Tribolium castaneum: one gene and its partner. The protein of the gene in region 2 purifies or fractionates together with the protein of the main gene of each other region. This does not show direct contact. Links are inferred from orthologs where the notes say so. Each region holds a gene or a part of one and is shown on either strand. Other genes may lie near its edges.

Evidence for each region.
Region 1: the proteins of GPN-loop GTPase 2 (region 2) and Polr2J purify together in Homo sapiens (affinity purification with mass spectrometry; 3 studies listed by BioGRID and IntAct, counting the BioPlex papers as one, with this or other methods). This does not show direct contact. The link is inferred for Tribolium castaneum from reciprocal best matches to the Homo sapiens genes GPN2 and POLR2J.

What each region holds. Positions count from the first base shown.
Region 1 is NC_087395.1:21,131,067-21,133,781, reverse strand, and holds Polr2J (DNA-directed RNA polymerase II subunit RPB11), read right to left. Parts: upstream 1,415-2,715; 5' UTR 1,172-1,414; coding exon 1,119-1,171; intron 1,064-1,118; coding exon 974-1,063; intron 924-973; coding exon 713-923; 3' UTR 668-712; downstream 1-667. Other genes in the region: uncharacterized protein CLIP-190, read left to right, coding at 1-18; mitogen-activated protein kinase 1, read left to right, coding at 1,713-1,840. UniProt on the Homo sapiens protein: Core component of RNA polymerase II (Pol II), a DNA-dependent RNA polymerase which synthesizes mRNA precursors and many functional non-coding RNAs using the four ribonucleoside triphosphates as substrates.
Region 2 is NC_087394.1:30,157,111-30,161,218, reverse strand, and holds GPN-loop GTPase 2, read right to left. Parts: upstream 2,571-4,108; 5' UTR 2,073-2,570; coding exon 1,521-2,072; intron 1,470-1,520; coding exon 1,233-1,469; intron 1,180-1,232; coding exon 1,069-1,179; 3' UTR 590-1,068; downstream 1-589. Other genes in the region: uncharacterized protein LOC664179, read left to right, coding at 3,892-3,949. UniProt on the Homo sapiens protein: Small GTPase required for proper localization of RNA polymerase II and III (RNAPII and RNAPIII). May act at an RNAP assembly step prior to nuclear import.

The DNA of each region.
Region 1 (2,715 bases), on a different chromosome or scaffold from region 2:
GAGGATCAGACATTTTAGAACATATTCTGTTATTAATAATTTATTTAGCAAATTAATAAATATCTTGTAAAAATTTCTAGTTAATATTTATTTGACACAAATTAGTTGTTTTGTAAGTTATCCGTTGATGAGGTTAATTGTAAATAAAGGATTGTGAATTAAATAAAAATATATTTTTCTGTTAATAACAGTTACATGCTCGTTTCTTTCTTCAACCACTATAATTATAATTAAGTCAGAAAAAATTTCTGGAAAGGTAAACAAAAATGAAATTGTTCTTAAATACCTAAATGACATAACGGTGCAGTCAGAATTATTTTCAAAATTTAGCCAAAAATCATCCAAGTTTTAAAGTATTTTTGAGGTTTTTTTTTTAATTGAAAACTCACTTTCGATATACAGGCTAATTTTTAAATAGACCGATAAAATTTTATTACTCATGGTGGAGCTCGCAAAACGGACAGCCTGTGTACACGGATCACTGAGGTTTTACTGTATTTACGTAAGTGCTTTAAAGCACAGACTTTGCCACCTTTTAATAAATCTTAAATAGCTTATTTTGAATAAAAATTGAAAACGAATTATTAACCATCATAAATAAACAAGTCATTTTAAACTTTTGACGCTGGGACGCAAGACATATTTTTGGGTACATAACAAAGACTGATTTATCGAAGCATAAACTTTATTATTAGTGAATAAATTCAAATACTTAATCTAAACCTTCTTTCTTTTCCTTGATCGCTTCCTTAAAACGTTCTTCAAACAAAGACAACTCTGAAATCAAATCTGTGATAGAATTCATCAAAGCTTCTTGAGGCGAATAATCAGATGTTGTTTGAATTCTCAACACAAATTTATGCTCAAGTGGATGAGGCACCTTGTATCCAGCAAACAAAACGTTCGGATCTTTTAACAATTGGCTAAAAAATCAAAAATAATTCAACCTAAACCTTAATGTTTTGTTACACACTTTCTGATCATGTTTCCCAACGTGTGGTCTTCTTTGTTTATGGTAAAAATAGCCGCGTTTGGCACTTTTGTGTCTTGTTCCCTTATTATCCTAAAAACACAATTTGTAAAAATAAATTTTTGGTCCAGAGAATTTGCCCACTCACTTTTTCTCTCCATCATAGAGCAAAAATGACTCGAAGGTTGGTGGCGCATTCATCCTGAATGGAAATACTGTTCACTGAGCTTTTTAAACCGCTTATTAATTTTTAACAACTTTTTATTAGTGCGTCACTTTTTTGTGGGTTATGTCACCTGTCCTGTCATCTGTCAAAAACCAAATATCGGAATTTTTTATTTTTCTGTTTAAAAACTTATCGAACGTCTAATAGGGTATTACAAATGCCGCCAAAATGAAAATTGTAGCCCTATTGTGGGTTCGATAATGGAAAATAAAATTAGGGTGCTTCCCGACTAGTGTTCAGTTGGTCCACCAGGGGGCGCGTTATTTGGCTATCTTTTCTGGGAATAAATTCGTTTTAAAAACCAAAAAAGCCTCAAATTTGGAAAAATCCACGTGAAAACGTTACTAACGAGTCTACAATTAGTTGGAGTTTGAAAAAATTGGTAATAAGTGTGAATAATAACGATCTGATATCAGCTGATAAATATTAGGGATCGGCTCCTCTCTGCTTCAGTCTGTGGCTTCAGTGTGCGTGAGTTTGTCATCGAGGAAGGTAGTTTAGGAGGTTTCGCTAAAAATGGCGGAAGCCACAGGTGTATCAAGTGTAAATCCGAATGCAGAAGTTGTAAGGGGTCAGGTATTTGAGGTGGGCCCCCGTTACACGAACTTATCATACATTGGAGAAGGCGCATACGGAATGGTCGTGTGAGTAAATTTTCCTTATCATTAGTCGCTGTGGTTTTCTAACTTACACGCCCTAAAATTGCGGATATTGTTCCAGTTTCAGTAACTCGATCATTTTTTAGTTTTACCGGTTTTGTACAAAAAGAAAAATGTTCATAAAGTTGGCGGTGGCTTGTCAAATGGTTTTTTCATTAGAGGTTGAGGTTATGTATACATAACTTCCTGTCATTAGTTTGGAAGAAATCGATGTTTTAGGACGGTAGCCTGGAGACAAGTGATTTATTTAAAGTTTTTGGCTGATTTCGGGCTTTTCCGAAATTGATTCATTGGCTCCGAGTTTCATACATGAAACAATTTGCTATTTTTAACTAACAAAACATTTAAAAACGTCAAATTATTTTATTTTTAGAAGACAACACCGACTACTTTTCGGTAATTTTAGCCTAATTGTTAGAATAAATTGGTATGATTATTATTTTGTGACTTTTTTCTTATTTTCTGTTTTTTAGTTTTATTGTTTTTGCATATTATGCTAAAATGAAATAATTTATTCATTAATTGTTGACAGTAGCACTTATTTGGTATATCAACTAACTTTTTTTATTAATAATTAATATTGTATTATTACTACTATATATTATACTTATTATAGATCCTACATTTAAAAAACATTGAAGTTATCTACGCTTACAAATTTTTAAAAAAATTGTTGGGTACCTTATTAAATACAGTGTGTATCACACAATTTTAAGAGACCTGTTTTTAAAGTGCTCATCCAAATACCATGCGATTTACTAAACTTTTGATCTAGTTATTCATGACAGTTAACGTTATTACGTTAACCCGATGTCCATTACGGAAGAAGGTTCCAACCTGGATTCCAACATAATTTTTTT
Region 2 (4,108 bases):
AAAATGTCAATCTAAAAAATTCTGTAAAACTTGTAAGAGTTTAGTTCCTCGTCCACAGGTTGCAGCACTATATAAAAAAAATTACAGTTTCCTGTAATATAAGTAAATCGAATTGTCATTTCTAGAAAAGTTTCTGCACAATAAAAGCAATACTACGTACAAAATATTGGTGAGTTTTTTAATTTATAATGAAATCATATCCTAATTTAATTCTTTGCAAGATCTTTAAAAATAAAAAATATTAATCTGAAAATTCTGTAAAACTTGTAAGAGTTGGGTTCCTCGTCCACAAATTGCAGCATCATGTAAAAAATTACAGTTTCCTGTAATATAAGCAAATCGAATTGTCATTTTTAGAAAAGTTTTTGCACGATAAAAGCAATACTACTTTTACAATATTGGTAATTATTTTGTAATTTATAATCAAATTATACCCTAATTTAATTCTTTGCACGATCTAGTTAAAAATAAAAAATGTTTAATCGGAAAATTCTGTAAGATTTGTAAAAGTTTGGCCCTTCCACCACAGGTTGCAGCATTATGTAAAAAAAAATACAGTTTCCTGTAATGTAAGCAAATCGAATTGTCGTTTCTAGAAAAGTTTCTGAAAATAACGTTTCAACTTTTTACGATCATATCGTTCAAATTTTGTAATTATATCGATAAAACAAAATCTAAACATGACCGAGAAACCTAAGTTAGATCTTGGTGTTCTTGAGGAGGACGATGAGTTTGAGGAATTTCCGGTTGAGGGTAAATTTGAGGTTACAAAGTGATTTGCAGAATTGTTTCTCTTGCTTTCAGATTGGACCGGGAAGGACAAAGATGAGCAAGATATTAGTGTCTGGGAAGATAACTGGGAGGATGATAACGTGGAAGACGACTTTAACAAACAATTGAGGTAAAAAATTAGATGTTTGTGGACAAGAGCTACGAATAATTTTTTAGGGCCCAGTTGGAAAAACAGAAGGCCAAACCTCCAGCAAAGTAGTGGTAGGTTTACTTTAAATTTAGGAGTAATAAAAACAAAATGCAGTAATTTTTTTATTTTGTGAAACAAATTAAACACTAAAAGAAATCAGCGTCATATCTTTCACTTTCGGTTCTTGATCCAACTGCACATGACAGTAAGGCTTGAATAGTTCTTTCCTCCCCGCTGCCGTAAATGTAGCCATTGGCCTAAATAATTTTTTATGAGTAAAATACTAAAATTGGTTGAAATAATATATTACCTTATCAATAGCGCTTTTCAAATTTAATAAACTCCTCTCAGACTTAACATCTAATGGAACAAAACAAACCAAACTGTAGTCCTGAATTAAATCAACCAAAGCCTTGTTGAGTTTTTTGTATTTACTTGTAAGTGGTGCATCATCCAATAAGTCTAGTAGATAATCAAGGTTTAGAACATCAGTATAAAAATCAATATTGAAATCTAACTTATCCGCATTCTTTTTCAATAAATCAGCCTAGAACGAAATTTATTGTCCACAAATTATACAAATGTTTTCGTTTATTACCTTTGTTAAAACATTAACATGTGGTAGGGCAATTTGCATCATTGTGGAAAGACTCAATAAAAGGGTTGAAATAAATTTTGAAGGGTCTGAACAGTAGTGCGAATCCACCATATGGACAGCGCACAAATGATAGCCCATTTTCTCCAATTTCCCAAAAATATTCTTGATAGAATTATGGTGTGTATAGAGCTCCACTTGTCCTGGCATATCAAAAATTAAGTAGCTGTTTTTAATTTCAATCAACTGCTTCAACAGCCAATCAAAATTTTCCTCCAAGTACTCCATACAGTACATAAGGGCCCCGTTGGGCCCTAGCTTCAAAGTGTCCATTACGTCTTCAACAGTCACCAGCTTCATAACATCAATGGCAGGATTATAATTCATATTTTCATTAGCTGGGTCTAAGTTCACAACTTCCACTTTCCTGTTCAACTTGTCCTTATAAAAATCGTAAACCTTGCCGCAATACGTGGTTTTGCCAGAACCCGGGGGCCCAATTACAACCTGGCCAAAGTGATTCTCAGCAACTTTTGTTCTCTTTGCCGCAGACATCTTTATCCTGGGAGTAGTTCTTAATAGCTTCAACAATACCGAGGACTGTGTCCCTTGAATACTCCTTCAAGTTCAGGAAAATGAGTAGTTGTTTCCTGATATTGAGTTCTTTAGTTATGAATCTGGCGGCAGCTTCTGCGTAGATATTTTCTTTACCAAATAACTGATGAACTGAAAAGACAGGTTCGGAGGCACACACTCCGTTTTCAGTCTGGTCCACTGAGACTGAGTACAAACTGTACAATTTGCCGAATTGTGTGATCACGAAGAGATTCTGATTCGTGAAAGTACCAATTGCAAATTCGGTGGGTACTTCGTTAATTTTTGCAGCGAAGTTGAAAATATTTGATTTGTCGGTTAGGGACAATGAATTTATGAGTGAGGACACTTCCATAGTCACTTACACATAATTACAAATTACGAAATTATGCTGGTTCACTAAAATTAGTTCGAAAAGTGAGGTTGTGGTAGTTTGACAGTGTTCGCGACTTTTGTCAGGGACTGTACATTGGTGTATTCTTGGTTGCAGGACTTTATTTACTCAATTTTTTGTGTACAGGGGCTGGTCTAAAATTAATTATATTTTTTTTTATTAGAATCATAAAATTCCAAAAATTGTAAACCGATGCGTGTGATCTGTTATGGATGTGGCCAATTGAAACTGTTGTTAAGACAGTACTAGTGTTATTTAATGAATCATCTAAAATGGTTTTTATACAATTCATAAATAAATACAATTAAAAAAAAACCTTAAAAATTAATTTTTTTGGTAACCTTTTAAGCCTTCTTTTTAATATCTGAATCCTAGATTATAAAACACGTTTCCGATAGCAACGTGTTTTCACTATTTTAAAACACGCTTCCCATAGCAACGTCTTTTAAATTAAAATGTTCTAACGAAAAAAATTTTGAATAACACTTATGCGAACACGCTTAAAATTCTCGGGTGTTTTGGTACGTAACTCACATACGTTCGTTGCATAAAGATAGCCCTCGAACTTTATATAATGCTGATGAAAATGCGTATATTATTTTATTGAAAAAAAAACTTTTTTAATACATATTAAAAAATATCTTTGATGAAACCTCACGATAATTGATTCTTTATGTTCGAACTATTCTATACTCTCTGCCTCACTGGATTCTCCTGGAGTTTTCACAGTATCATTTTTGGTGACTAACATTTTTCGGGAAACTTTTATCTTTAAAAAATTATATTTTTTCTGAGGCAATTGTTAATTTGTTTTTTCTAATGTGGTAATTAATTCAAATAGAGGGGATACAAATTAAAATGGTGTAAATTAGGTATAAATATTAGCTGGCAGTACTTTTTGCATCATTCTGTAATAAAAGCTCAAAGAAAAGCTAGTCAAAGCTTCGCTCGTACTCGTTTTTTAAACTCTTTTTGCTGCATAAAGAAATTCAAAGCCACACATTTGTAAACCTCATCCACACAGGTGAAGGCTAAAAAACAAGAAGCGACGCTTCCGAGTTTCTGGTTCAGTGGTTTAAATACAGGTTACATAATTATTCAAACGAGTGCCATTTCCAGTCCCATTTTCTCTTGTTGCAAGACAGTTTTATTTAGTAAAACCATCTGAAAGCGCTCTATTTCGAAAAAGCTGCAAAGTGAATCCAATCGATTCGACGCTTGATGACGTCTTTGCGTAGAGGGGAGAATCAGTGACGTCATGTCGTCTTCCTGCTAGTACAACTAAATGTCGAACAGATAGGGAGACGTCAATACCGCACTTTTCAAATCAGTGCAATTAGTTAATGTGCGTTTTTTGTATGAGTTGGGACAACAAGATCAAAGAAAATGTTTCAAAGTGCCGGAATCATTTGTGCTGCCCTTATACTTGGAATTGTAGTTAAATGTAAGTGTATTGATTGTTCCCGAAAAAATAGCACTATCCCCGATTTCGTGAAAATTTACGATTTTTTTCATTTTTTCGAAAGGACATCAGTTATGTAACTTAGCTCCACCGGCGGCACTTCCGTGCTCGACGGAACAAAATCGATTTAACCTAAAATGA